Regions from separate parts of the Mus musculus genome. Here regions 1, 2 and 4 are each reported to be linked to region 3. Evidence: microRNA targets listed by miRTarBase, many of them from high-throughput screens and not tested one by one. Region 3 holds a microRNA gene; each other region holds the end of a gene's coding sequence.
What was found. Region 3 holds the annotated microRNA mmu-miR-429-3p (UAAUACUGUCUGGUAAUGCCGU, at 2,977-2,998, shown strand). A microRNA usually pairs through its seed, bases 2 to 8, with sites in the 3' UTR of a target mRNA and lowers its output. Matches are read on the target gene's strand: a 7mer-m8 pairs with bases 2 to 8, a 7mer-A1 pairs with bases 2 to 7 and ends in A, and an 8mer does both.

Region 1: the mRNA of Map2 is a reported target of mmu-miR-429-3p. Seed matches in the 3' UTR shown: 7mer-A1 at 6,098-6,104, 8mer at 5,599-5,606 and 7mer-A1 at 4,498-4,504.
Region 2: miRTarBase lists Ints6l as a target of mmu-miR-429-3p. Seed matches in the 3' UTR shown: 7mer-m8 at 1,996-2,002.
Region 4: miRTarBase lists Cradd as a target of mmu-miR-429-3p. Seed matches in the 3' UTR shown: 7mer-A1 at 2,152-2,158.

The regions. Positions count from the first base shown.
Region 1 is chr1:66,437,632-66,445,367 of GRCm38, reverse strand. It overlaps Map2 (microtubule-associated protein 2), which reads right to left. Exons shown (of 15, transcript NM_001310634.1): 14 at 7,002-7,114; 15 at 2,785-6,576. The coding sequence ends at 6,361. Among named protein-coding and RNA genes, the nearest start is that of Unc80, 26 kb to the left of the region's middle.
Region 2 is chrX:56,505,749-56,513,484 of GRCm38, forward strand. Ints6l (integrator complex subunit 6 like) reads left to right here. Exons shown (of 17, transcript NM_172779.4): 16 at 625-718; 17 at 1,132-2,095. The coding sequence ends at 1,240. Among named protein-coding and RNA genes, the nearest start is that of Gm648, 40 kb to the right of the region's middle.
Region 3 is chr4:156,049,178-156,056,913 of GRCm38, reverse strand. Mir429 (microRNA 429) reads left to right here and starts at 2,927; the gene lies at 2,927-3,009. It overlaps Gm13648 (predicted gene 13648), which reads left to right. Exons shown (of 2, transcript NR_132444.1): 2 at 2,885-4,199. It overlaps Mir200a (microRNA 200a), which reads left to right and starts at 1,929; the gene lies at 1,929-2,018. Mir200b (microRNA 200b) reads left to right here and starts at 1,164; the gene lies at 1,164-1,233. It also overlaps a transcript of Ttll10 not described here.
Region 4 is chr10:95,169,660-95,177,395 of GRCm38, reverse strand. Cradd (CASP2 and RIPK1 domain containing adaptor with death domain) reads left to right here. Exons shown (of 3, transcript NM_001330138.1): 3 at 1,418-2,657. The coding sequence ends at 1,719. Among named protein-coding and RNA genes, the nearest start is that of Gm29684, 28 kb to the right of the region's middle.

The DNA of each region.
Region 1 (7,736 bases), not on the chromosome of region 3:
CAGGTAACTAGCTCCTTATCCAAGGTAATCTACCATCATGTTAGTTTATTAGTCAATTCCTTAGCTAGTTACAGCTATTAGAAAAGCAAGTAGGTATGCCTTGCTTATAGACACCATGCTAAAAGACAAGGAACTCAGTTTACATTGACTGCTCCCAGTGATCAACCACCTGTGTCTCATTCATGGTAAATAATTGGATAGAAAAAAAAACTGTAAAGTTTGTGCAAGGTTTGAGGATATAAAGCTTAAAGTATGAGGATCTAAGAAAATGTTTTAGGGTCTAAGGAGGTGTTTGAAGGTTAGTAAATGCAAACGAAAGCCTAAATGGTGATAACTGAGCAGGAGATCCAGAGAGTTGCATAGATTTTAGGATGTGGACTGTGGGCAACCTAACAGGACTGAGGGGTGTGTTGGTAGGTTGTGGGATCTGGAGTTTCTGGTGCCTGTCATAGAAGGGATCCCTGATTGAGATGAAAGGCAACACAGGGGAAGGAGGCCTAAAAGTTGAAGAGGAAATTTTTTTGGTGATATCTTTGAATGACTGGATCCAAAACTGGGAAGGAGAGCGCTTCTTGACCAACCTTTTGGGTTATCTAGTTCCAGTCAGCCAGTACTGTTGAAGGGATCCGTTCATTCCTCTTTGTCTCCTCTCAGAAACTAGGCCATACATCATCCACTCCAGGAGCAGACCATGAAACTAGGCCATGAATGAGACACAGGTGGTTGACCACTGGGAGCAGTCACTGTAAAGCGAGTTCCTTTTCTTTTAGCATGGTGTCTATAAGGAAGGCAAGCCTATTTGCTTTTCTAATAGCTGCAACTACCTAATGAATTGACTAATAAACTAACATGATGGTAGATTACCATCTGCTCAAGCAGCAGACCCCAAAAGTCCAGGAACAAGACAATAAAACCCCCCATCCGAGAAACAGCCTGAAGATAGTCACATGAATGGGAGATATCTGATCTCAGGATAGGCCATCTGTGCTGGGCAGCCCATCCTGTGGTTAATGCAGTCCGTCTGGGGCATCTCAGCACCCACCAATGAAGTTTTAAATTACTTAACCCTAACACAGTAGCTAATCAAAATTGTACTAATGTCAGGGCTTTAGCTTCTACCAATTACATTAGAGATTACCGGATCATTCTAGAGAGTTCCCCCAGTTCCCTATAAGAAGGTGTATGCCTTTGTCTGGGGTCATGGCCATTTTGATGCTGTGCTGACCCTAGCATGCTGGTTGTTTCTGCAGAGTAAACACTCTTTGTTCTTGCATACTATTTGAGTCTGGGGTCTTCCTTCAACAATTCCTGAACCCTAACACTGTTTGGCTCTTTTTCCTCCCATCCTAACCAGATACCTTTCTGCGACTTTGACCCTTAGTCATGGCAACTAAGCAGAACTAGCCAGATCTATGGTAATGGAGCTATTGACCCCTACCAAGGAGGGTCAGGAGAACCTTCTCTGGGATTCCAGGGGGATTACTCTCTCATCCAGCTACAAGTGATCTTAGAAGACGTTACTAAATACTAAAGTAAAAGGTTAAAAGAGAGACTTCATGATGCCTTTTCTATGAGGATAGCATCCGTGGGGGAGCACTTTGAGGGAGCACTTTGAGGTGACTTGGGTGCACGTGCAGTCATGTATGCTGCTGAATGTAATTCCTGGGCTCATTAAGAAAGGACAATAAACTCACTGGTCTCACTAAGTTGAACTTTGGTGAATGCATACATTGGTCTGTCATTGGAACACATTGGGGTGACTAGATATTCTCCTGTGTACCCCAGGAAAAGTGAACACAGCAGGCAGATGACTTGTCTAGGTATTTAATTGAACCAAGAAATTGAACCTGAGCTTAAGCCATTTTAAGTTTCTAGTACTGGGAAGAGACAGCATCCTGTTAATGATGTCAGCTGATACTAGGGTTCCGTGGGCACGCATCGCCAGTTCTTGGTTCTTATGTCCTGGAACAAAAAACTGTAGATAATGACAAGCACAATGGAACAAAGGATATTATGGATGAGCTTCCAAAGGGGGAAACATACAGGAACCAGGAGCTAGCTGAGCAGCCGGACGACATCACTGCACCAAGCTGGGCTATAAATTACCTTAGCACAGGATTTTTGGCTCATTTGCATAGCATGGGTTTTTCTGTTCATGTTCTGTCTTGGTATGTGTAGCTCTACATATAAGTTCATATATGTAGTGTCTCCTTAACTTAACTCTCCATCCAGCTGTGTGTGCATGATAATGAGCCATGGTTTACTCAGGAACACCCTGGAGTGCCACTGAAAGGGAGACAATGGGATGAGTTGAGTTTGGGGTAGGAAAAATCAGTATCCCCTGCCCCCAACCTACTTTTCACATGCTAATTTTGTAAGATTATGTACAACACCTGGGTCTCACTCAAACTCTTCTTTTAGAATAGAAAACTGCATTTTCACAGATCTAGCTCAGTGGCACAGTGGTAGAATATTTCTCTGGTATGTGCACTGTCCTGGAATTGACAAAACAAAACAAAACATTTGTTTATCAAGTAGATTGGGTAATATAGAATTGCCTTCTATAGGGAACAATCACAAATAAGAAATTGATAGGTAATTGTGGCCTTTTAACCTCAGTTTTTCTTTGATTGGATCAAATGATTTGTATGTACATATACATATCACACACACACACACACACACACACACACACACACACACACACACACACACACACACACACACCTATTTTCCCCTCCAGAGATGAAGAAACAATGTTTTTAAAAAATCTGAAACTTGTAGTTAGGTGACAAGCAATTTTATTTTGCAAAACAATCACTATACAGCAACAAATACATTTGCAAATTGATTGAAAAACATGAACTAACTACAACCAGCCATTGAAGAAATACCTTTCTATGGTAACAGGCTCTAGAATTATCAGAAGAAAGAACCCCCCACAGATGGTGTGTTGAAACCTTGGGATCCCAGCATACAGAGTATACTTTTTGTTGAATTTTCCCCCCTTTTTGCTAAAGTTGAAGTGGACTTTCATGATTGGCATTTTTTTTAGGGGTTTTGAAAAAAAAAAAAAACCTTTTCCTACAGAGGGACTTGGCCTCAATCTACATGTCCAGGCTAAAACTTCTAGGTGTAAAAACACAAACATAAGTATTAATTTTAGCACATCAATCTTGGAGAAATGCCTGAAATTTGCCTTTTCCAAATGATTAATCTACTTTTACTTTGCTACTTCTACCACAATCATTTCCTTTTTTCCCCCATGTGGCATGAAATATGAGAGGAAAGCTATAAATGAGGCTAAGTCAGAATTATTTGCTTTTATATCATTTCTTTACTACCACTGACATAATGCTACATTTGGCATTATATCTCTCTTCTACCCCACATCTGTGTGAGTGTGTGTGGAGAAGGGCAACTACAGTCTATTCTTCCCTTTACTGGCTCTCTTCTTCAGCTACCTTCAGCCAAACTGAGCTGGAATTGCACAGGGGTCTTTCCTATGGGTGGGATTTCAGCCCGTCATCCTGCTGGAACGCAGCAGGCAGATCCAGAGAGAGTCAGTTCCTAAAGGAACTTGGCCTTTGAAACTCATCATAGACTCGGATCCTTCCTGCATTGTTGCAAGGTACCCAATTGTCAGTTGCAGGAGACCCAGAGTGTGTGAGTTTATTGAAAAAGTGGGCCTTGGAACTCTTCCGAGCTCTGGATACTTACGTATTCTTAAACAGGTTCTCAAAGGCTAAAGCCAGAGAGAAACTGGCATTAGTGGATCTAGAAATGCAGTAGTGCACCTTTCATTTCTAGATCAGCGTATGTGTATCCCCACAAAAGTGGTGTCCAAAAAGCTTAATTTGAGTCATTATCTTAAGAGAGTAGGTAAGGTGAGCTCCATCCCACATTCCCATAAGGAAATGATTTTAGCCTGTGCATTTCTCTGTCTGTCTCCTATAAAAATTCCTTCTTGTGATAACTTTATAGAGAAACACATTTCACATAGAACAAGGACTTATATCCATTATAATTGTTTTGACATTAGAAAAAATGATTATTTTAGTGCTAGATCTATTAACATTGGGGTTTACATAATTTTTTTGAACACGCATCATAAGAAACTGAATTTTAACACAAAGAAAATGTTTACTTAGGCTTAATTTTTATAATAAACTGGGTTGAAATTATTTTCTGCATAGTTTAAAACCACATGGATCATCTGGTACCTTTTTTTCCTAGACAACTTTGATCCTTGTCTATCAAAACATGTAAGAAAAGACTGTACTTCTCCACACACAGTCATTCCTTCTTCCATTTTCTGTGCATTTCAAGAGAAGGTAAGGAATGGGTTGTCCAGAGTGAAAACCACTATTCAGTAGTTTTAAAGTTATATAAAAAATAACCAATTTACAAAGACGACTGTAGTGTGTGTGTGCCTACTAGCCAATAAGACTGTCTCTGTTTGATGCTAAGCTTTCTATGTGACTGTCACATTGGTCATAATACTCAATGGGTCACTAAACTGCCACCTGTTTCTCTCCACTTTTGCATCCTCTTGCCTTCTGTCTTAGACACTCCTACATCTTCCTATCCTGTTCATGTTCACCTTCTCCTTTGTATACAGGGCTTGGTTTATTTCAGAGACATAAAACACCCAGACAGCTTTTTCACATTTATCTCTGCATATTCCACCCACCAATCCCGAGCAAGCAAAAGAACAAATTAAATATTAAGAAAAAAAGTCCACTCGGTTTGATAATGCTCTGCCTTATTTTGGGCCATCGACTATTACTTATTCATTAAGTATGATTTGTAAATGATAGTAATTGAGTTGTGATGTCTAGATTGTATATAAAGCAAGAAAAAAATAGCATTTACTCATGAATAAGTAATACCATGTTCCATGTTCATGAAGAATCCTGGAGAGATGGATTTAGATATCTGTGTCTCAAAAGTATTACATATATAGCTTCTTTATATGTTGTATTTTTCATCTTTGATCAAGAGGTCTTTGGGGGAAGGAAGCCAAATATATTCTATCACAGAATTTAATGAACAGATACTGTTTGGAGAACAAGAAAAGCTATTCAAAATTATTTTTTCCTACTTTCAACTTTAGCAAATGGAAAAAGGAAATAGAAGAAAGAGTAATGAATAGTAAGAGATTGGTGTCATGGATAATTAGAGGGATAAAACCCGACCTATTTAGTGATTATACATGAGATAAATCCATAATCCTTGAACCAACATCTGTAAACCCCTTTATGCATAACTGGACCCACTCCACAAACTCCATGTTGGTGGAAGCAAAGAAAAGTAAAATGTTCTAGCATCACAGGAAAGACTTGATTCTGGCACTAAGACAGGGTTACAGCTTTGAGTTGTTACAGAAAGCAACTTCATGCTAAAACTCTTTGTCTTTTTAAAATTTATTTTTAAATAGGGAGAGAACCCTGCTAACATCTACTTTCACATACCTAAAATTGCAACACCAAAGGGTGCAGGAGACACAGATACTGTGAATAAAGAAGTATCATATTCAAGTATATGAGGAAGTATCACAAATGGCCACAGAGAAATATATATATATATTTATATCTATAATACTGTATCAAACAGATGGAATGGGGGTGTGAAACTGATTGTGTGGATATAAATCTAGCCAATCGACTGACATTCTAATCAGACACAAGCCCATCCTAACAAAAGTGCATCAATCCTAAGAGATGCACTTTGACACCACTTCTTCAACCAACGCTCAAATGCCTTAAATCTAGCTTGTAGTTCAATAATTTATTGGAATGGCATACTCTGATATACTCGTCCAGGTCCCAAGTGTCAATAACTTAATTGCGTCTTTCTTCCCATTTATACAAAATAACACTTTAAAAAATGTGTTTCTTACATGCTCTTTCCTTCCTGCAATCAGACTCCTTGATTTCATCGAACCTGTAGTAAGTAACAATGGGTAGGTTTTAATCTTTTCAACCATAAACAGAATAGGGAAATGAGCAGCTTGGATTTTTAACAAGGCCTTTCAGAATGTATTGGATAGCCTTCAGGCACATGAAAGGTAAAAATGCAATTTAAAAAATAATAATAATACTCCATGCAAAACAGAGCAGAGCGAAAATAATTGTCCGATTGTATCCATGTAAAGCCATGTGTCCTTGTTGCGGATGGAATTCAGGTCATTTTCTGCATATACTATTAATTTTTTATATAAAATTGTAACAATTACTACAGTTGGGGGATGAAATTATTTCTCTATGGTTTGTAAAGAATGAATATGACACCTGCTCAGAGCCCACTCCTGCCAAGAGCTCATGCCTAAATGTTACTCCAGTGCTAAAGGAGAAGTATTCACAAGCCCTGCTTAGCAAGCGCCGCAGTGACATCCTCAGCCAAAGTGGCAAGCTGAGGGGATTCGAGCAGGTTGATGCTTCCAGAAGATGAGACGTTGCTGAGTCGTCGGGGTGATGCCACGCTGGACCTGCTTGGGGACTGTGTGATGATCTCAGCCCCGTGATCTACCCGGGCCTTTGCATGCTCTCTGAAGTTCAACTTTTGGCTGTCAATCTGTTGAAGAGAAACATCAGCCCTCATTAGTTCAAGCATCTTCACCAATCACTAGCTCTTTCCCACCTGTTCATATAAGAATATGATGTGTATTCAGCTTAGCATCTCTCCTTCCTGTTTGAGAAGTTCTTTAACCAGAGATCCACTTTGATCAAGCTATTTCAGAATAGCTAGGAGTAATGCTGGGTTACTAAAGTAGTAGTTGTAGGTTTTTACTAGTTAGGAACATATATTCACACTAATATGTATGTGTGTGTGTGTAACTAATTAAAAACATGGCCATGAATTTGAAAGAGAAAGAAGGTTTCAGAGAGAGGAAAGGGCAGGGGGAATGATGTAATAATGTATATTATAACCTCAAAAATAAAAAATAACTTAAAAAGAATATTTCATAAGAAACATGACTGGTTCATTGCCATTCTCACCTTCACATTACCACCTCCAGGTACGTGGTGAGCATTGTCAAGTGAGCCAACTTTAGCTTGGGCCTTTTCCTTGAAATCCAGTTTTACACTCTCAATTTTCACACGTCCACCACCTTCAGGAGAGAAAGCCTTTTTTAAATGCCTTGCTGAAATGGAATCTTATATTTATAAAAACTACACTCACACAAGCATAAGCCATATAGAATGCCAGAGAAGGTATATTTTCCTGTCCTAACCAGACATGGGAGAAATCTGTTAAAATTTTTAGCCCACTTCATTTTGCCTTATGATCCAAGACAATGGCATCTTTCCTATACTGTTATACACGTTACTTCATGTATTATGCATTACTTTTTTTCAAATCTATATCTGTCTTAGAAACCAGAGAGGTTTCCTTGTTATAATACAACCACTAAAATAACACAGTAATGAAAATATTGTATTGTATCCTTTCTTAACCTTTGGATATTTAATCTTTTATTTTTTTACTAGAAGAAATTAGATGGAAATGAAACTGTTCTTTCCTGACCTTCATGGGAACAAGTCACTTATCTAAAGAAAGTTTTTTAAGCTGTGATGATGCATGTCGTAGATAGCTTCAGCTGCTAACTTAACACACCCAGAGTCATCTAAGAGAATCTTAATTGATGGTTTGTCCAGATCTGTTAGAGTTTATCTTGTTTACTGATTGATGTGGGAGGGCCCAGCCCACTGTGGGTGGCACCATCCCTAAGC
Region 2 (7,736 bases), not on the chromosome of region 3:
TCCTGAGCTCTAATATTCTTTTTTTTTCATGAATTCTTAGAGAGATCTACAATATATTTTGATCCTATTCACCCCAACTCTCTCCAAACTCCTTCCTAAGTCCTCCCCAACCCCTATCCCTCAACTTTCTGTCCTTTTGTTTTAATAACTAGTTGAACCTACCATGTACTTGTGGGTTCGAGGCTATCCCAGTGGAGCATAGTCAACCTATCAGGAGCCATCCTCTCAGGGAAAACCGATTCTCCCTCTTCCAGAAACCATCAACTGTTCATACTCCTTTAAGAGGGATACTTGTGGTTACATTGGACCCCTGGGCGTAATCCTGGAAAACTCAATATGCAGAGCCTAATTCTATCAGCATATAATACATATATGATCACATGTTCACAAGGCTTCATGGATTAGGGCAGTTTGGGGCAACCAGTTTTCAGCTTACCTCATTTGAATACTGTTTATAAGAATTTCCTTCATAAATATATACAGACATTTTGATTTTTAGTGTTTAACATACCAGCTATATTTAAGACTTTCTACCCATAAAGGATGATTTCTGAGGATGTATGATGATTGAACTTTATTTTTCATGCATATTTTCATAACACTGAATTTTTGTAATATCATCAGAGTATGAAAGGATTTTCATTTTGCTTGAAGAAGTGCAGGGACCTCTAGAGACGAAGAAACAGTTTGTTGAATTTACCATCAAGGAAGCTGCAAGGTCGGTATAAACAGCACTTGTATAGGCTTTCTAATTGCTTTGGGTTCTATTTGTCTTTGTTTTAATTTAGTAGTAGGATCCAATGAAGGATAAAGTCTCTCTCTCTCTCTCTCTCTCTCTCTCTCTCTCTCTCTCTCTCTCTCTCTCTCTCTCTCTCTTTCTCTCTTTGAAAGCACTTGTTCTACTCATAGGTAAGGGTGCTTCCTGCAGTGTTCTGATGGATGCTACCAGAGTCCTGACTCATGGGTTCTAGCTAATGTGTATGTGCGCTCATCAGATTGGCATGTCCCCTTGCTCAGCCCTGCTCTTTCCATGAGGATGACTTCTGCTCCCTTTGGCCTGCAGGCTACATAACACCTGGCACTCTGTAAAGTTGTCTATGACACTTATGCTTACTCTCTTTTTCTCTTCAGGTTTAAAAGAAGAGTCTTAATTCAGTACCTTGAGAAGGTACTAGAAAAAATCGATTCCCACCACCTTCTTAACAATGTGAATCACATCAACAGCAGATCATCATGTTAATGCCAAGCCAAGTGAGGAAAAAGAACACCTTTTATGTGCTTTCAAATGCAATGGGACGTTACTGAAGCCCTATAGTATGTTTGAGTGACAGAGCGACCTAACTCAGGCTATGAGAAAGGAGTTGACTTGAGCTTTTAACGATTATCTGGAAGTAAAATCTGGGCTTTTGCCTTAAGAATTATTGAGAATATTTTTTTCATTTCGTTGTTTATTTTTTCCAATTAGGAAAAGAGATGCTGAATCACAGAGCACTGCTGCTCCTACTACAGCTAGTAGAGTTCACTCATTTTGGACCTTGCCATTCCAGGCGGTTTCAGAGTGAATAGGGACTGGCCACTTCCAAGGCGAGCACTACCTACTGTCCTCATTGTGTGCTAAAGAACACGAAAGCAGAGAGAGTCCACGTGGTGATCTTGTGCTCAAAGAACTCTTCAAAGATTTCTAGCTGTGCCTTTTAAACCATGCAATATTCAGGATCGTTGGAATCAAAGAGTAAAAAGCTGCTATTTCGGTAACTTAATTCTCTCTGGGAAAGGGCAGGGGGAGTCAGCAAACAATCTACCTCGAGTGCTCTTCCACTTTGACTAGGACCATTACAAAGTGTATCTGAGGCTGCACTAACCTCTGACATCTGTTCTTGCATGTGACAACAGAAAGCTTTCAGGTGGACTTGTACATTTTTGTGCTTTGGAAGCACCAAAAGGAAAAATAATATGTATATTTTCTTTGAAGTTTATACAGAAGTTTATATGGAGCAGTATTGTTGTTTTTATTTGTAAAAATGTAAGTGATCAAAGAGATTTTCACTTTGCATATATGAAATAAAATCATTTTATTGATTTTTTCAAAACTACATTTCTAGGTGTATGTCTCTTGTGTATATCCTTTCAGAAACAAACAAACTTCACACTATCAAACAAATGAACACGCTAACAAAAAGACCCATAAGACAGCTTAGCAAGTACAGGCCCTTGCCACCTAAGTTTGATCCCTGGGCTGCCCATGGTGAAAGGAGAGAACCAACTCCCAGAAGTTGTCTTCTGACTTCTACACACACACACACACACACACACACACACACACACACTGTGATACAAGCACATGTGTGTATATACATAAACAAAAAAAAATTTTTTTTAATGTTAACAAAGTAATTGAACTTAGAAACATAACATGGTGTTATTAGAAGGCTGTGGGGAGGCCAGACCCTTCCAAATACGAGTATCTGGGGAGAGAAAACTGCCAAAATCAAGTTTACTGGGACTCTGAAATTTAGCCAAAAGGTTTGTCTCTGCTTTTGCCCATTGAAAATTTTGTACATGTATTTTGAACATATTCATCACTCCTAAGTCCTCCTATTATTGCCTCTCCACCCACCATATGTTGCCAAACAATTTTGAGGTTTCATTTTTTTTTCTTTACCCATCAAGCCCAGTATGTGTTGCCCAGCTGGTCATGGGAGTGGGGCCTGCCCTGTTATATGGTCAACCACATCATTAAAGAAAACTGCCTTTTCCTCTGCCAGCAACTAGCAAATGCCAGTAGCTTCCCAGCTAGCCATAGAATTCCATGTCTACCTTTGTCCCTTTGTGCTGGCATTTTTGTCTGGTTAGAGCTTGTACAGGTCTTCCGGAGTCTGTCACAATTGCTATTAACTCATATATGTCTGTCCCATTCTGTCTGAGAACAGTTTCTTTGGTATGATCAGCCATATCTAGCTCTCATAGTATTTCATCTGATCCTTTTTTCAAAGATCCCTGAACATTTTGTTCAGGGGTATTAGGACTGAGCACTCCAGTCTCATATTCTTTGCATGTTAATCAGTCGAGTATTTCTCTGTGAAGTGCCATCTATTGAGACATGCTTCTCTGATGAGAGGTGAGAGATGTACTGATCTATATTACATGTTAGCAACGTGATTTGAAGTCATTTTTTACTGTGTCTATCTAACAGAATAACAGTAATTGATTCTTCCCTAAGGCCTCTGGTCTATCTAGCCACAGATTCTTGGCTACTTGAACAATGCTGGGTATGGGTCCAATTCTCATGGAATAGCCTCAGATCCTATCAGAAAGTGATTGACGGCTCCCATACCATGCTCTTATTGCCCCAGTGGGCAAATCTTGCCAAACCAGTTCTTGTAGCTTGCAGGGTTCACACCTAAGTGAGATTGATGATGACTTTTCTTCTCCGGCAACATGCATAGCATCTTCTAGCACTGTGAACACTAGCCAATAGGGGTAAAGCTCCCAGGTGAGTACCAGCTTGATTTTTCCATGTTCTGTTGTGACTAGTGATAGGATCTTACTATCAAGTTCTGGAGGATAACAGTATAGACCATAGTCTATATACTACTTGGAAGTCTATGTCACCCCATTGAGCAACAACTCAAAAAGCGGTAGCTATTGTTTGATAGTTTCCCTCTAGATTGAGAAACTCCATCATGCAGGGAAGCTCTTTAACAGAAGTTAAACAACTCAAACGAGCTTCAGGAAGTCCCCAAAACTGACCAGATTCACTAGGCCCCTCCTTCAAGAGTAAACAGGACTTTTGAGAGTCACTCTCATACAAGACAAGCTGCAAAGAAAACCCTGAGACCAGATCAATTGCCTGGAAAAAGCAGAGGTCAGCTTAGCAGCCTGGAAGACATTTAGTTCTCACCCATGCTGGAATGGGCTTTGGTGATGCAGCTGCTGTTGTCAGTACTTTTCCTGTATGTAACCTCTCACCCATATTCCTGTAAGTAACCACAGTAAAACTCATTGGTTCACCAAGTTGAACTTCAGTGGTACCTGTACTTTGGTCTGTCATGGGATCCCTATCTGGGGTGAATAGATATGTGTGTAGCATCTCCCCAGGGAAAGTCTTGTCACACAACAACAACAACCCATTTCTGGTACTAGAGTTTTGATTTGTTACTGTGGGGTGTTTGGTTGTAGAATTTTTCCCTGACTTAGAGTAACCAAAGTGAATGTGGAATAATGTGAAAGGCCATGAAAACAGTAGGAGAACTTTGTGCTGTTTTAACCTACACTTGACCAAGCCCTCTCAAGATCCAGCCATGGTTTAGAAGATGGCACAGTAACTGGATTTATTATATCAGTCATCTTAGATATCAAAGGAGCCAAAGGAAAACACGCATAAACAGTCCAATCAAAGCAGGAAGGTAAGGTGTAAACTAAGATAAATAGGAATATGTAAGCATAATGAGAGGAAACGAATATAGATTATGAACCTGAAAAGTATAGAAACTGACATGGAAAACCCCTAAGAGAGTTCAATAGCAGATTTTAGCAGACAAAGGAACCTGTGAAGTTGATTGAAATTATCCAATCTGAGGAGCTGAAAGAAACTGGGAGTATGAAAGTGAAAAGAGCAGAGGATATAGCTATCAAGAGACCTGGATTCTGAGCCTTAGCACTAAACCAAAACCAAGACCAAGAAGTAGAGTTTGAGAGACTCACCTTAGCCTATGGGCCACCACCAAGCATGACAATGTATATGTCTTAGTTACTTTTCTTGCTGTGACAAGACCTTACGAATGAGGCAGCCTATAGAAGAAAGTGTTTATAAGTGCTTACAGTCTCAGTGGATGAGTTTGTGACCATCATGGTGGGGAGCATGGCGGCAGGCAGCCAGAGAGCTTACAACCCTTAGCCACCTTAGGAGGCAGAGAGCGGAGAATGATGTAGGCTTTTGAAACCTAAAAGCCCACCCACAGGGACACACCTCCTAATCCTTTCCAAACAGTTCCACCAACTGGAGCCTAATTATTCAACTATATCAGGCTATGAGGCCATTCTCATTTAAAACACCATAGTATACATAGTAGGATCCCTGGAACAAGAGGTGAGAAAGCACTGTGACAAGTATGGAAAGAGACTATTTAAAGACCCAGTAGTCCCAAGCTCTTAAACTCTATAATAAATGTGTATCAGAAAAGGCATCCAACTCAAGAAAGTGCAAAGCAGATAGAGAATCACTGACAGAATCAAGCTGATAAGAGACAATGAAGATTCTGAAGGCAACCAGAGTATCTTGTTACATACAAGGGACCCAACTCCTAAGTTTGACATTTTGTTTCTTATCAGAAGCATGAAAAGACAAAAGGTAATATAATAGCACTGAAAATGCTACAAAGGAGTTGTAGATGTAGCTATGGTAAAGTACTATCTAGTCTGTACAATGCTCTGGGTCCTCAGCACTGTGCAAGAAAGGAAAAAGGATGGATTCAAACAGCAGAAGGGAAGTGCTGTCAATCAGGTATAGTATCTCTGGTCACTAATGAGGGAGAATTTAAGACTTTCTCTGAGGAAAAAAAAAACATTAGGAGGTTCATCACTGTTTGAGTCCTACTGCTTGAAATACTCATCCTCCAGGCTGAAAGGAACACACAGCAGTAACTGATACAAAGAAACAAAGAGAAAGCATCAGTGAAGGTAACTGCATGTGCTACCCTTAGGTTTTAGGTTAAATCTTGGGAGATGAGGATAACATAGTTATTAATGATTACAGAGTTTCTCTTGGTGGGGCAAATAAATTTGGAAAGAGTCATAATTGCTGCAGAATCTATGCACACTTAATATGCATGAAAATAATGAATTTACGTTATACATATTTAAGCATGACTTTAAAAATGTCAGCTACCAAAAGCCACTAAACTGTAACCTACAAGGGATGAATAGCACTATGTGAGAGTTATATGTCAATGTTTGTTGAATATTGGGAAGACAGATTTTGAAAGAACATGATGTAACTATATGCTCTGTGTGGCCACAGGCAGATTGAAAATGAAAAAGTAAAAGCAGTTACTCCATGCAAATGATCACCAAGAATGAGATTGGTGACAACATAAGACAAAATAGACATGGAGCCAGAAATAGTTATGTGAAACAAATACAGACCTTATGCATTGTGATAAATGAGTCCATTCATCAAGCTGTAAAAATGATAATGTACTAAATGAGAAAAAGTAAATGACACAAAAATTGAGCAAATGGGAAAATATAGAACTCCACAATAGTTGTTGAAAACCATTAAGTAGAACTATTCAGAAGATGAGTAAAGAAAGGACTTGAATAATGTTAAAAACCCAACTATATCCAGCATATCTATAGAACACTACCCATTGCGTTTGCCATATTTTGTGCATCCATAGGATGAGAGCTGATTTTGCTCACCAGCTCCAAAATCACTCTTTTGTCCTGCTCCATGGATATTCTGATTCCTTTAAAGGTCTTTTTCTTGCTGCCATTGTCACTGACATCTGTCTACAGAGGACTCCTGGACAGTATAAAGCCCAGCTTCCTGTTTCTCTGGGCTGGTGGCAGCCAGTTTTCCTGATCTCCAGGCTTGTGTATAGCAGATTCTGGTTGGTCCCCCACAGATCCTCCATGAGTAATCTGGGGCAAGGTACAGGCCCAGCAGCAATAGTGGTCATTTACTTCCTTTTTAGTCCTCTCAGCCACTAATAAATCAGATTTCTTCTGGCAAGTCTAGTGCCCCTTTATTTCATTCAGTTTCAGACATTGGGAGAAGATTTTCCAGTGGCCAGTACTCAAAGGATGGCTTTCTACAATGTTCCCAAGTAATCACACTATACAATCACTAGGCCTCCACAACATCAGGATTGCAGCACTGAGATGCATATGGATAAATGTTCTCATTTAGCATGGAAGGCAACTCCAAGTTGGGCATTCTTAGTGTATCGTGGGGTCCTATTCCACAGGATATTTAGGATGGCTCTTCAAGATATCTCTGACAGGTGGCTGTTCGTTCAGAGGTAGAGAATGGATTTCTTGCAAGCCCCCAACTGTTCTCTAGACTAAAGCAGGCTTCCTTCATGTAGGGTTCTACCTCAGTTCTCTGGGGGACTTCTGCCCAGCCAGTAACTACTCTGCTCATGGTACACAACTTTTCTGCGCATGCACAAAGAATCCTGGGGAAGCTAGAATCCTGTGAAGTTGGGAGGAGAGCCGGTGAGGCTCAACGGGTTCCGTTCTCTTCAGCAAGATTCTCGATCTTTTTCCCTGTGACTCTTCTGCTACTCTTGAAGCTGGAAAGGGTCCCATCAAGTGTAAGTCTCTGCCTGGAATTAAGTTTCTAACAGTCCTCAGGTGAGGATAAATCCTCAAGGACTGGCCTCATCTACTGAGAGGGAGTGGCATTGTTTGTTTTTCTGAGTCAGCCATGTTGCGCTGGGTCTCATCATCTCAGGGGTGGGAGTTTTGCTTGTACTCTCAAACTCACCAGGCTAGGACCTGGTCTCAGCTATAGAGGGGTGACCGATTTTTTTATATATTGGAACTGAGCCGTGTTAGGACTTTGGGGTGGCACGTTTTCTTGGGTCATTGGAGTCAGCTATGTTGGACCTCAACTCTACTGAGGGGAGGCAAATTTCTTTGAAACTTAGCCAGGCTGGAACCTGACTTCAACCCAGGGGTGGTGATTGATCTCGAGCCCTTGACTTTTTGATGTTGGGAGATGCTTCAATTAC
Region 3 (7,736 bases):
AGAGCACTGGGAACCTTGTAGGCGATAGACGAAGAGTTAGGACAGTTTCTAAAACCTTAGGCTCCTATAGAGTGTCCATTCCCATCTGCTCAGCCTGTGCTCAGGTCAGGTCCTCAGAAATGTTGGCTTTCAGGAGAGAGGCTGGAGAACTAGCGGCTGCCTGGAGGCAGTGACACACGCCTTCGTTGTGATCCGAGGAAATCAGTACAGGGCTTGAGCCACCTGTATTGTGTCTGTGATAGAAAAGACCAGAAAAACGAGAAGAAATACTTCTGTAAAGACGGACTTGGGATGAGGAGAGGCACAGATTGAGTCTCTTTCAGTCCCAAGTATCCTTGGGACAGGTGCTTAGTTTCTTGGCTCTGTATGGGAGACTACAGGCTATGTCCTTAGCAACAAAAAGATCTTTCTATGGGTATGTGATTATTGTATTCATACTGGGGGCTGCTTTTCCCATACGCTTGAAGTGTTGGATCCCTGGTCCCTCATCCCAGTATCCTTCTTGGGCCCTGAAAAAGGCAAGAGGGGCTGGGCAGGAAAGTAGACTTGAACAGTATCCTGGAGACAGAGGCCCACTGAGTGAACCTCATCAACCTTAAGTACACTGTGTACCCTAATGGGACTGGACCTGTTGTCTAGGCTATTCTGTAGTGAATATACTCAGATGGAGGGCCTGTCTATGACCTGATCCTGACCTGGCCATTGGTCACATGGAAGTCTACATAGCCTGCCTCCCAGCTCTTTCGGGCTGTCAGCCTCTGGGAAGGACTATTTGACCCTTCAAAGTCCTCACCTGGGCCCCAAGCTAGTCCACTGCAGGTCAGGTTTGGCTGGGCAGGGGAACTTGTCTATGGCCATGGGTGCTAAGTCCTTCCTCTGGGCCTTATAGAGAGGCAAGAAAGAGGCTTCAGGGCCTATAAGACCCCCATCCTAATTATTTTCCATCTAATTTCCAAAAGAGAACTTGATCTTACTTCAAGCTGTTGACCTCTCCACTACCTATCTTTGGAGATGAGAATGCAGGGCTTTCTGCTGTTGTCCTGAAGGGGTGCCCTCCTTCTGCAATGCTCTGGGGATTAGGACACTTAGGCATCTGGGCCCTGCCCATGGAATCTAGTCATCTTCAACTCCCTGCTAGGCGGCCTCCATATCCAACTTGGGCAGCCGTGGCCATCTTACTGGGCAGCATTGGATAGTGTCTGATCTCTAATACTGCCTGGTAATGATGACGGCGGAGCCCTGCATGCAGCAATGGAGCCGCCTCCTGATCCCAGCCTCCAGGGGCCCCAGTTCCACACCTCACCTACCTTATCCAAGGTAGGGCTATGGGGCAAAGAGTTAGCCTTGGCGATATGGGTGGTGGGAGGCTTTAGGGAGAGTTCCCCCAAACCAGGCACCTCTGAGGGCCACTCTATATCCTGGGGTGAGAGGCTCCTCCCATTGCCCTGGGGGCGCCCCCTCCCAATGCCCTGGGAATTAGGACAGTCAAGTGCCTGGGTTCTGCATACAATACCCAGGCAGGTGCTGCCACCACACCTGGCAGGTGTACGCTGGGTGGAAGTGCAGCAAAGGCTCTAAAGGGCTAAGTCTCCGCCTAGGCTCAGAGGGCCTCATGCCAAAAACTGCCTCACCTACATCTAGGAGCTGTGTACTGATTGACCCCCTAGTGGGGCTACTCAAGCCTGGGATACCTTACCTTCCTGCATCAAGTGAGCACCGACCTATTGACCAACAGCACCTCCAACATGCACACTGAGCCAATGTGTCACTGTCCCCTTGCTTTGGACAAAGCAGACCGTATGAGTTAGGGTCAACATCTCTGCTGGCTTATTGCGATGCATATACGGTCTCTGGCTGTTCATGGCATCAGGTTTCCACTGGGCCTCCCTGAGGGTGGAAACCACCTGTGTCTTCCTGCCAGAGCATACCTGGGCCTCTGTGGGCATCTTACCGGACAGTGCTGGATTTCTTGGCTTGACTCTAACACTGTCTGGTAACGATGTTCAAAGGTGACCCACCATTCGCCGAAGACAGGCTGATGATACACACTTGTCCTCCTGGACTCCAGTTAGGCCGAGGCTGGGTGCTGGGTGCAGAGGGCCTGTCTCAGCTCTACAGATCAGCAGTCAGTGGGGGCTGGACTTTGACCCTTGTCTATTACTTCATGCTGGGACAAGGGATGGTTTCACCATGCCAGGGGTACTGGAGTAGAAGTGGATTGTCACTCATTCTCAGAGCAGCGATGCCCACCTTTGCCAACTCCTCTGCTGGATTTGGGGGTTCATTGATTCCTAGAGAGACTGTGAGGGTTAGTGAGGATGCTGAGCTAGGTAAGGAGACATGGATAGCAGTGTTAGCATAAGGACTGTCAGTGCCTATGGGACCAATGGGCAAGGGTGGGTTCGGGGACCTGAGCCTGGTACACAGAATTGTGACGTCATCAGCTGTTTCCTAATTAAGAACAAGGAATCTCTATTCCTTCCCAATGGCTTTCCAGAATAGGAACTTTGCCCCAAACCAGAATCCAGGATTACTTCTTATCTTTCTTTACTTGGAGCCAGAGTACAGGGTCAGGGAGCCCCACCCAGTATCAGCCTAGATGACTCTTCCGGGGGAAGGAGTCTGTTCCTGGCTTTAATGTTACTCATTAAGCTGACAGCCATTCAGAAAACCAAAGAGGTGCTATGACGAGCATTTGCCAAGTAAGAGTGAGCAGATGACTCTCCTGTTGCACCCACAGACTTCCACACTTGAGGAACAGGCAACCAAGCTGGGCCCTGGTAAGAAAGTCCTTAGAGTAGTCCCAGGTCCTAGAAGGGTGAACCCCAAGAATGGCCCTTGGACCAGAGCAGGCAGGAAGCCAACCCTGGCCTTCCCTCTACAGGTATCAAATCCAACTGCCCAGATGGGGAGGCCCTTGTACTGCCCTGCTGATGGATGTCTTACCAGACATGGTTAGATCTGGATGCATCTGTCTAATACTGTCTGGTAATGCCGTCCATCCACGGCCTTATCACCGCTGGAGACGACATCCTCACCACCTCGTGGACACTGGGTAGAGACAAGACCTTAATCCATCTGTTACAACTGTCCAGAGCTGGGTTCATCAAGCCCTCTATGCAAACAGACCACAGTTTAAATATACAGGCCCCGCTGAGCCTGACTGCCTTCCTCTGACCCTGTAGTAGCTTTCGGTTACAGCCACAGCAGACTGAGGCCTCCGTATCCATCCTTTTCAGGAATAGTCAGTGGGGCGGTCACAGTCCTCTTGCCCTCCATAGCCCACTGGGCTCCACACAGAGACTTCGATCTGTCGTCAGCTGTCACCTGCAGATTCTGTAGCCCCTGTGCTATCAACACTGGTAGGAGACAAGAGGAGATCTAAAACCTTGGTCCTTTGTCTCCTCTCCAAAATTCTCAGGTCATGGAACCAAGGAGAGTAAAAGCAAGTCTAACCACTGTGCCCAAACCCGGAGTGGAAAATAAGTATATGGGTTTCAGGGACAGGGGCACTGCCAAGGTGCCAGACCAGGTGATAGTGACTCATACCCAGGAATATGCACAAGGCTGCACAGCTCTGCCGTTGTCAGCCTGCTTATGAGCTCTTCCTATGCATCCCACCTCTGGCTCTTAGGATCTGAGAGTCATCTTTCAGTCTAACTCTGGATGCTGAATGGCCCGATCTTAAAGATCCCACCCCCACCCCATGTCCCTGAGAATTTTCAAAAGGCTGTTGCTAAAACGGTTGCTCTAGAATGACTCCCAATGCTTACATCATTTGCTATATGGGGAGTTTGAGTGTTGCTGTGATAAGAACTAGAAGTGAACCTCTTAGACCTCATCTGCAAGCTGCTGGCTTCAGTACCTAGACTTCTGCAAACCTCAAGTTGGCCAATACAGCCTGAGTCCAGCAGAGCCAAACCCTACCTCATCCACTGCCCTCTTGAAGGAACCCAACATGCCCTAACAGATTTCTTAGCCCTGGACAGGCCATTCCTCTAAAGAACCATTATAGGGACACTGGACTTCATCTTCCACAGAAACCTGCTGGGCTCCAAGTTCTATGTGGCTGAGGGACTTGTCCGCCCATCGTGCGCTCTATAATAGGTGGTCCCCTTTTTGTCATCTCTTCAAGCATTGTAAATAAAATGCAGGCAAAAAAAATCTTTGTAAGGCAATAAATTGTGTGATTTCTGAAATTTTATGTTGATCATCTCATTTTCACCGTACAAAACATTAACAAGCAGCCTTGCAAAGGATCAAGCCGAGGACACGGGGACTCCAGTGATCGGTGCTCCCGCCAGATAGAAGAGAGACATGGGGCTCATTGTACCCAGCCAGTCATTACACAAACCAGCTCTGGTATGCAATATGTACTCTAGAACCTACCAAGGACAGGTGAATCAGGAAAATGGGGGCTCCTGTCTCAGCCAAGAGTCAGCCTTGGAGTGAGAATTGGGTGTCTTGTGCAGGAACCAAGCCCAGGGTGTTATGAATGTGAAAGCAATCACTCCACCCCTGAGCTACAATCCCCAGCTCCTGGAGTGTGCATTGAAAATGTCATAGCCAGGATCAGAGACAGCTGGCTGCTGGTCCAAAGCCTCTCCAGGGTTGGGTGAGCTACCTGTCCAGCCTGGAGGCTTTCAGCCCCAATAACTCAGCCCAGGGTTTAGTAGAAGTGCTATGTGCCCCAGCCCACCTGCAGTCCCACTGTACTATTAGTCTAGAGCAGAGAGGTCTCTTGATCCAGCACTGGACTGACCACAGAGACCCCGACTCCCAGCACAGCATAAGAAGGGCAGATCTCACAAGTAGAGAATGACAACCTATGGGGCACTCCTATCGCCATAGGACTCTGGGCACAGCTGAGAAATGGTGCTCCTTCAGACCTGCCAAGCACAAGCTCCCACACTGGCAGCTTAGACTAGGGAAGGCCACGTGAGTGACTTGTCATGCCCAGCCTCTAAGGGGATGCTAGAGCCCCTTAACATGAGCAGAACCACAAAAGAACCTGAAGGTGAGGAGATTTACAGGGTAGCCAAAGACAACAGTTGTCTTCCAGAATTTCCAAGATATGCCCCTAGAACCTCAAGAAGGCCCTAGAGGGAGTCTTCAAGTGTCTTCCTCGTCTTAGTTCACAGGTCCTGTGGCTTACAGTCACATACCCTTATCTCTGCTTCCCTCTAAAGAGGTCACCAGTCACTGGGTTTAGAGTACGGCTGGTTGACACAAGATGACTGCACCCAAAATTCTAACTCAGTGACATCTGTACAGATTTCTATTTTTAGAAAGGCACGGTCATGGACTCCAGGATATGGTCCTGGTTTTTGGAAGCACCATGTAGCCCCTGTCAAGTTATTGTGATCCTTGCAAGGCTCTGAAAGATGACAGGAATGTGGATCCATATGGCTGAAAACTTGGGGTCAAAAGCAGGAGTCACACCAGATCCCAAGGACCCCAGCAGGAAACTACAAATTGGCCTCAAAGCCACTTTGAGCCATGCTTGGTGTTAGATCCTAGTTCTTTAGGTATGGATTAAGGAGTCCCTGTGAATACTCAAAATCATCTAGGAAGAATTCATGGGGGGAAGGGGACCTGGAGAGATGGCTCAGTGGTTTAGAGCACTGACTGCTCTTCCAGAGGTCCTGAGTTCAATTCCCAGCAACTACATGGCGGCTCAAAACCATCTGTAACAGGATTTGATATCCTCATCTGGTGTGTCTGAAGATAGCTACAGTACACTCACATATATAAGATAAATCTTTTAAAAATTTCATATACATACACACACACACACACACACACACACACACACACACACATATATATATATATATATATATATATATATATATAGTTCATGGGAGGATGGAAGATGTGGGGCTATGCCCCAGATTCAGATGGCGTTGTGAACTCAGGAACAGCTTCCCCCCAGCCTCCTCAGATCAATTTGACCCATTCTCCACTTCTTGCTTTGCCCAACTTCTGTAAGGCTGCCCTTCAACTCAATGGTCCCTTTCACCATCCACCTAAAACTCTTGTTTACCTTTGGGCAGCTGCTGAATCATAGTTCCCTAGTAACAGTTGCCTGGAGACAGTTGCCAGGTCACCACTGTTGTATCCCAGCAGAGGGTTCCTAAGACCTTGAGAGCAGGTAAGAGAGACTAGGTGGTTACAAGCTGAGGGTCCTGACTAGGACTGAGGCTGAGTCCTTGCCCTCCTGTGCCTCATTTTTGACTCTTTCCGGAAGTAGATAAACAGGAGAGAGGACTGGGCAGCTTGGCTGAGTTCAGCCCTCTGCCAAGGCCACACTCTCCAAACCCAAGTGTCTCAGCCAACAAAGGCGTGTCTTGTGGGGCGGGACTGGTCCATGTGGGCAACTCAAGTTCTGGGGAGGGCTGGGACCCCTTAGAAGGAGCTCTTTGCCTAGAGCCGTGTCTGTCTCCCCCAGAACTGACCCCTCAGAAGGGCCACCTCCTGAGATCCACAGAGAACGCATCCCCAGACAGTGAGCGCAGCTTGGGAGGCACCGGCCCTTCAAAAAATGTCAGCACCTTCTCAGAGCCCTGTGTTGCCAAACGTGTGTGTGTCTAGAGAAAACTTCAGCAGAGCACTGACATGGTCATTTTCTTGGCCATCTTCTTCAGGTTTAAACGCATCTCCTGCCCATTGTACCGGGGTGTGATTTCCTGCCGGTCTTTTTATCTGATCAGGTAAACATGTTTATTTTAAATTTATTATAAAGACTTCAGGCTTCAGTCTGGCTCCTCACCTTGAGCTTTCCCTTAACTTTTATGTAATATCACAAGATTCATGACCACACCATTTGCTTCAGTATTAGACAGCTTGCTTCCTGAAACTGTAACTGAAACTTTTAGTGTAAAACTTCCTTTCTGGATCTTGGGTCTCCTCCTCAGAGACGCCCTGAAACGCGCTTCCTAGATAAGGGCAGTAGCTGGTAGCTTCCCAGTTTAGATGCTGTACCCCAGTCCTTCCTCTCTTGGGTACATAGATCCCTACTCACTCATTAGGTTTTCTATGAAGTTTTTGTTATTTTTGTGGGTTTTCCTTGGTTTTGTTTTTTTAATTTTTGAGGGAAGGTTTCATGTAGTGTAGCTCAGGCTGGTCACCAACTTATATAGTCAGACTACCTTGAATTTCTGATCCTCCTCAAGTAATGGGATTCTAAGTGTGCAATGCCATTCCTGGTGCAGGGGACCAGATCCGGGGCTGATCTTATATATGCTATGCAGCACTGTATCAGCTGAGCTATATCTTGAGCCTTGCTATTTTTTTTTTGTTGTTGTTGTTGTTTCACAGGGTCTCTCTATGTAGCCTAGGCTAGCCTCAAGCTTTTGGCAATTTCCTGTTTTCTGCCTCCCAGGTGCTGGGATTACAAGCTTGTGTTACCACACCTAGCTTAGCTTTAGTAAATATAGATGACAAGAAATAATAATTCATAGCTGAATTCAATGTTAAAATAACAAGAATACGAAGCTAAGAAAGTGACTGCAGAATCGCACACCCACACCTACACTCCTGCCCAGTTCTAAAGCTCCTATCTCAGCCTTTTCCTGGGAGCTTTCCTTTTCTCGGTTGGGAAGGGATCTCCAGGCACTCCTGGATTCTTCCATCTTTGCAGCCTGTCCTCTAGAGTGGCATGAGTTTCTCATTCCAGGATTTCTCTCCACCCTACAGAACTTTTTGGATTTTTTTTTTCTTCTCCTGTTGATTCA
Region 4 (7,736 bases), not on the chromosome of region 3:
GGTCTTCGACACTGCTCTAGAGTCTTGGCAGCTGACGGTTCTGGAGTCGGAGACAAGGGCTGTGGGACCCACAGCTCTTCTTGCAGGGTCTTTTATCTTCTCGTTGAATCGGAAAATGAAGCAGGGGCTGGTGACTGTGGAGTACGCTAAGTAAACTGTGATGCAGCTGGCCAGCAAGTGTCATACAGATGCTGTGGCACATATGACCGCGCCTCACCCTTAGCACCGCTGCGGTCATCTTGGATGCTTAGAGTCCCTCTCAAACTTCCCTTGGCCTCTGTCTCTGGCACACTCCAGTTCCTCCACCTTTGCATATGCGGTTCCCTTAGGAGGGGCTGGACCACCCTCTTTACCCAGCATTCTCTTTTCAGGAGCTAGCTTTAGCTTCTTCGCTCCATGGCTCACATCCAGTTAGAGGTCCCCCTCCCCGCCCCCCGTAGAATGTCAGTGTCTGTACAGTGGCACAGTTACAGCCACACACACACTGGCACTCTTCAGAATCCTGTTTAGCAAGTGTAAGGTCAAGCTCTCCCCAGCACCTACTCCTACGCTGTAGGCTTGGCTGGGATGGTGAGACAGCTCGAATGGCTTCTAGTCTCTTCTCCCATCACATCTTGCCTCTATGGCTTGTTTTTTTCCTCAGGGAGAGGGGATGCTCTGGCTTCCTGCTTCTGTACCTTCTATTCTGGGCGATGTTTTATATTGAGGCTGCCAGGAGAGAGAAGCTGTCAGTTTGGCCTCGAGCCCCTCCCCACGACCCTTCAAGGGGAGCAGCACTCACAGCTTGGAGCAGCACACTGCTGGCCCCCAGGCTGGTATTGAGGGGAGTGGTTTTCAGCCAGAGCTCTTGATAAGATTTCTGACAAAAAGAGACAGGAGTTTAAAAAACAAAAACAAAAAAAACCTTGTGACAAAATAGTGTGTCCGTGAGCATGATACATGTTTGTCTGTCTATATACACAAGGAGGCAGAATTAAGCAACTATCCATGGATTTTTCTTCTTAGATCTTCTGCAGTGAACACTTTTAAGAGATGCTAAGCGGATGGCCTAGTTGGTCATCAAAGGGAGGAGAGGCCCTTGGTCTTGTGAAGATTCTATGCCCCAGTATAGAGGAATGCCAGGGCCAGGAAGCAGGAGTGGGTGGGTTGGGGAGCAGGGGTAGGGAGTAGGGGATAGGGGATTTTCGGAGAGGAAACTAGGAAAGGGGATAGCATTTGAAATGTAAATGAAGAAAACATTTAATTAAAAAAAAAAAACTGAAGGGGGGGGCGGTTTCAGCGGCACGCACGGTTCAGCCCACGAAACTGAGCAGTACAAAAAGACCGGAAATAGTCGCCTATCTGCCCCGCCCCATTCTCAAGTCTTCCCTATATGAGGTGCTTGCTTTATTCAATTTCCTGTTCTTTTCCTCCTCAGGTGACTGGATGGCCGGAATCCCCTCACACATCCTCAGCAGCTCGCCATCAGACCAGCAGATTAACCAGCTGGCTCAGAGGCTAGGCCCGGAGTGGGAGCCCGTGGTCCTGTCTCTGGGACTGTCCCAGACCGACATCTACCGCTGCAAGGCCAACCATCCCCACAACGTGCATTCGCAGGTGGTGGAGGCCTTTGTCCGCTGGCGCCAGCGTTTTGGGAAGCAGGCCACCTTCCTAAGCTTACACAAGGGCCTCCAGGCAGTGGAGGCTGATCCCTCCCTGCTCCAGCACATGCTGGAGTGACCTGACCCCCCCCCGCGCCCCCCCCCCACTTGCTGTGGGGGTGGTGGGGCGTGGGTTCCCAAGTCACACTGGCTGAACCGGACTTTTCTCAGCAGGTGGCTTTGTTCTGGGCTTTTCAGTGATCTGTTTACGGAAAGAGATCGTCCACCACTCACTCAACCATCGATTGGCTTTAATTGCTTGAAGACTGCGCTGTTGTAACTATGGTTTGGAACTTTGTGGCTGGCCTTTAACAGGAGGCCAGAAAAAACACAACACCCACCCTACCCAACCCCCCAAAAAATCATGCTACAGCATCGAATGCAGGTGTCCTGCATACAAGGCAGCTACACTTGTGTTGCCTGGAGACTGGATTGTGCATTTAGCTCTTCATAATGGTGATGATAATAAAAAAGCAAATTGTGATATAGAATGTGCCTCTTTCAATGAGAGAGTATTATATCACACACACACACACACACACACACACACATACACACACACACACCACTCTTCTGTTGCATAGACGGAGGGTGTAAAAATATGGGAGTGGAGCAAGATTGATAGCAGTCATGTGACGACGGAGATAAATAACTCAGGCAGGATGTATAGATTAAGCATGAGACACCGAAGCTCCCTGCAGAGGCCAGGGAGAGAACGGAAGACCTTCATCTTAACAAATTGTATGAGGAGTCTCTGTCCATTTGTTAAAGGCATTGGATCAGAGACAAGAGGGCTCAGTGTTTCTCTTGAGGCCTGAATGGCTGAAGGCGGTGAGTTCCCGAGGGGCGTCATGGGTTGTCCAGCCTTTCATTAACTGCACATAGTGTTAGCCAGACAGGTGTACGTGTTTGTCATCCCATCTAAGAGACTGAAGCAGGAGGATCACCTGTACATGACTGCTTCTTTCAACATTTTAAAATGTGTAACTTCTATTAAATTCTCTCAGTGCAAATAAAGTGCGTGTCCATTGTGTCCTTTCAAAAACCTAACAATAGATAAGATGAGGAGAAGCAAGAGTCTCCTTGTACTCCCCGCAGTCAGTCAGCTTTGCTCTGCTCTGCCGTCAGTTTCTTAGTTAAGCCCGCCCGCACATCCCTTCTGCAGCTGGAGCAGGATTGCCCTGTAAGGCTCTTTAACACTTGGCTTCCTTGCCTTAACACATAGCACTTGTTCCAATGCCAAAGGCCTTTACAACATCCTTTGCTCTTAGAGCACACTTGCAAGAGCTATCGTTTTGGCAGCACCTTTAAAGAGATTGAAGGCACTCAGCTTCTAAGTCTACCAACTGCTTTCCCCATCAAGAAGTTCGCTGGCATTGCAGTTCTTGCTTGACACACCCATAACCCCACCCCACCCAGAACCAATCCGAGCAAACTATTGTTCACTGCCTGCACTGTGCACCTTGCATCCTCACAAAGCTTAGCATGTCTGCATTCTGAGTTTTGTCCCTTGCCCCAAGATGTCCTCTCCACTGTACTACATCTAATTACCGCTGTGTTTCTTTTCTTCAAGAGAATGTTAGGGGAGGGACAGTCAACACAGAAGTTGCACACAGCCCCTCTGCTTCCTGAGGGTGTATGCGCAATTGACAGTTGCCGGAGGGAGAGACTGGCAGTATAGTTGTCACCTGTAAGTGTCCCTGTGACTTCTCACCATTGTCCTCACAAGTAGTCCTAGTAAAACTCATTCTTGTACCAGTCCAGATTTGGGTGGAGTGGTTTCTTTGGTCTGTCATCTTCAGAAGCCCTCTCTGAGGCACACAGACATTTGCTCAGATCTTTCCGGAAAAGCTAATGCGGCTGAGAGGCTAATCTCATCTCTGTTAATTGAGGACATTAAAGCCGACCAACAAAGACACAAGCCCTACTCTCTGGAGCTCACTGCCACATGAGACAGCCACAGACCTCTAATCACAACATGATGTGACAATTCCACTCCTGAGTACTGAGCCAGTGGGAACAGAGCAAAAGGACCCCCTCTGGTTTGCTTTTGAGGGGATGGGGGGCCTGAAGAAAAAGAAGGCTCCGTCACTCAGGTAAATCACTCCACCTTCTTGGGCAGGTTTATTCACGTATGCACACTAACTGGTCTATGAGTGCAGAGGATCTGCCAGAGGTAAAAAAGATAAATTGTTCATACAGTGGGTTTGGACAAGGAAATGTCTGAGCTGAATTATTTTGGCTACTGAGTTTTGTTTTGTTTTGTTTTGTTTTGTTTTCCCTAATATTCTTTATCAAGCCAGGGTCCCTCAAAATGTTAGGCTGAGGTCCCTCATCCTTCTGGGGCTTGTACAGCAGCTGAGAGTGTGCAGCTCTTCTGGGCATCCCTAGGGACTCAGGGTAAGGAAAAATGAACTGGCAGCACACGGCAGAGCATGTCCAGAACCTGGGTGGGACTCTGATCTAACACTTAGCTCTCATTAAATGAATCCCTACAGTTGGGGCACAAATTCTTGCTGGTTACAAAACACCCAAGTTACTGGAGATCCGAAGATAAATAAGACACAGTCTCTGCCCAGCAGGATCTCGGCCCTCCAGGAAGGCAGCCATAACAGCCAGGCAACTCTGACACTTCACAGAAAAGGGAGCAATTAAGTTGGCCACAGAGGAGATGACACTTCGGCTGAGCTCTTGTAAGCCCTGCCCAAGTTAGCGTGATAGCCCCCCCCTTAGGGGATATTAGGAGACACCAGAATTCCATTTAATGTCTTCTTCATCCAGCTTGACAAATGGCACTCCTTCCAAATGTCTACAAGATGCATATGCCTCCAAAATGCTATCTCGGAGCCATTAGAAACTAAACACATTGACAAATACCATCCTGTTCCATACTTCTTTATAGCAGTGGAGTGTTCAGCCACAGTAAAATCAGGATCAGGCTTCAAGGATTTAGGTATCAGGCATATTTGAGGGTGCTTTTTATAGCACCCCTCTCTCCCCCACCCCAACACTTGTACAAATTCAAAATAGATGTTGCAGCATACAGGGAATGTTTTTAATATAATGTCTTGTTTACTTCCCTGAACTATAAACATCTGAGAGGAACAGGGACGTCTGTCTTGTTGGCACTTACTGTTCTTATAGGAAAATTAAAGTCTCTCAAAGACACAGTTCAGTGAGCCAATTAAACCTTGTCTCTGCTTTGTTAAGCTCACGAGAAACATATGGTAGTGATTCTGATAGCTATTGTTCATTCAAAGCATCAGCTATGAAATCCAGGTTTGAATGCTCAGAAAGAAAAAGCAGATTCAACATCTTGGCAATAAGCATGTATTTCCATCTCATTTTCGTATTTTATCTCTAGCCAGTGCTGTTTTGGGTGTCACATTACATTCTTGATGGAGAGTATTTTCGGAAAATGTAAAATGGGCTGGATGTCATGAAATAATTATTCTTTTTGCTCTTGGTGACACTTAACCGTCCCTGTTTCTAGGGAGACAAATTGGTGTTGTGAGCACCTTGCCAGTGCCAATGACTTCGAGGTGACTTAGCTCAGTGCTGACCCCGGATGAGGCTGGATGCCTCCTCATGGCTAAGCTGGAAATAGATGGCAATGACCTCGCGCCTCTGGAACACACTTTGACCAAGGATGAGGCATCTGCGCAGGGGATGTCTATGAAGGCCCAGAACATCTGCCGTAGGAAGTGGTTCTTCTCCATTGAAGGGCACAGATTTCTTCCTTTACAAATATTAGAAAATGATAGAGACTTTCTTCAGAAAACACATTGAGCACTTGCACACTCTGATGTGCACAGATGCAGACATGTACGTATAATGTTCTACACAGACATGTTGACATATAATTTTGAAGGAATTTTCAGTACTTCTGAATCCAATTCATTCTTCCCAAGAACTACTCATGTGAACCCTGGTCTTCCTGCACCAAACTAGTCCACCAAGAATAATTTTTTTTTATTGTTTTAAATAATATTGGGAAGCCTTGAGTTCAGTAGGGTGGAGCTGTTTGTATTGGATTACACAAGGGTATAAATCACTGTGAAGGTGTTGAGATAAAGATAGAATCATTTATCTGAATCCAGATTTTTATATAACTGACCACAGATCTTTTCTTTTGGGGAGGGGCACTCTTAGGCTGACAGTCCTCTGGACCCACCTCTTGGCAAAGAAGAGTTTACAGCTGTGAAATGTATGACAGTCTCTGCCTCCAAGGGACTTCCTGCCTTCACCTTGTCTCTTTAGAACCAGAACTCCTCAGCGAGGAAGAAATGAGTGTTTTATGCTTAGCACTCTAAGAATGGTTGGTTTCTTGGGGGAAATCAGAGAAAACAGAGTCCCATTTACTTCACACACTGGGAAATTGTTCCTAACAACATCTTTTTTTGCAATCATCTGCTTGAATCTCGTTTCTCTTAGCTTCTGGGAGCAGTTATTTTTCTGCTCAGAAAACTAAGCTCCATGCTGGCTTTCTGGTGAGGGAGTGGACCCTTTGATTGTCTGTTTTCTGTCGTCAAGACATCATCTGTCACTCAATATTGTCATCTCCTGCTTCCCAGGGGACATCTTGTATTAATGGCTATAAATAAACCCCAACACGCCCTTTCTGAAAGTGTGAATAACAAAGCGTACCACACCGGTCAGTCAGGATAAGATCTCGCTCAGGCTCAGGGTAAGAACATTCATTGAGGAGGAATGGAGTCTTTGGAGTTTTGGAGGAAGATAAGTAAAGACATCCATCACTCATGGATTTCATGGGAGTCGGGAAGAAGGATGAGGTTAGTTTTAGAGTACACAGAGACTGGCGTTCCTTTGCAGTTAGTCAATCCCTACAACTAAAAAGGATGAAGCATTCCTTAGGAATCCCTGCTTTCCCAGGGCAGAGGATGTAGGTTCAACATTGTCAGGCCCCATTTTTGTTCATTTTGTGATACTGGCCTTTGCTTCGGGAAGTGTCCAGGATACTTGTTAAGTGTGGACAATTTAACTTTGTTTTTGTTTTGTTTTTCTTTCTTTAAAAAAAAAAAAGATTTATTTATTTATTTATTTATTTATTTATTTATTCAGAATACATTGTAGCTGTCTTCAGACACACCAGAAGAGGGCATCAGATCCCACTACCGATGGTTGTGAGCCACCATGTGGGTGCTGGGAATTGAACTCAGGACCTCTGGAAGAACAGTCAGTGCTTTTAACTGCTGAGCCATCTCTCCAGCCCGAATTTAGCTAATCTTAACCCATCACCTTTCACTTTATAATTGTTACTGTTCTTAGAGAGCACAGGGCTTGGATAAAGTGAACAGTGGTAAAAGTAAGTTTTGTTGTTGTTGTTTTGCTGTTTTTTGTTTGTGGGAACAGGACCAAGGATGGTGGTTGAGAGGTGAAAAAGTCACATGATAGATCCCAGGTCTCAGACTCTGGAGAGCAGCATTGGGGTGCAGATCTGAGTTTATTGCCCAATGCATAAGCTTATATGCAGTGTTTGAGCCAATCATATCGTGCCATGCCATCACCGTCACCATGCCCCAATAAAAGTCCCATCACCTGTTAGGACTTCTGAGAAGATGTGGGAAGCAGTCACCACCCTGGCCTTGGTTCCTATGACTATCTTGCTGGTGTTCTAGAGCCATCTTAGATCTAATGCCCTGGACAGCAGATCTGGATTCTTCGAGGAGTCACAGGAGCTGTGGTGCCTCGCTCTCCATCCTACTTTTCCCTTCACAAGGTTGACCTCCACGTCCCCCACAGTTGTTTGTTTTTACATTTTTACAGGCTGATATGATGTAGATATCATTTGTTCCTAAGGATTCATTTGTTAGTAGCATGGTCGGTGTGGTGATGTGGGAAGTGAGATCTTTAAGAGTCAGGTCTGGTGGAAGTCTTTAGGTCTTTAAAAGCTCTTCATGAAAAGGAATTAAGAACCTTCTAGTGAAATCCTGGGTTTTTCAGAGGGTGGGTGGTTACAGGATTAAGAGTGACCCCTGAATGCATCTTTGTATGGAGTTCTGCTTTCCTGTTTGGCAATAGATCTTTCCTAGTAGCAAGCTCCCCTGCCGTTAGGCTCAACTCTGCCAGGGACAA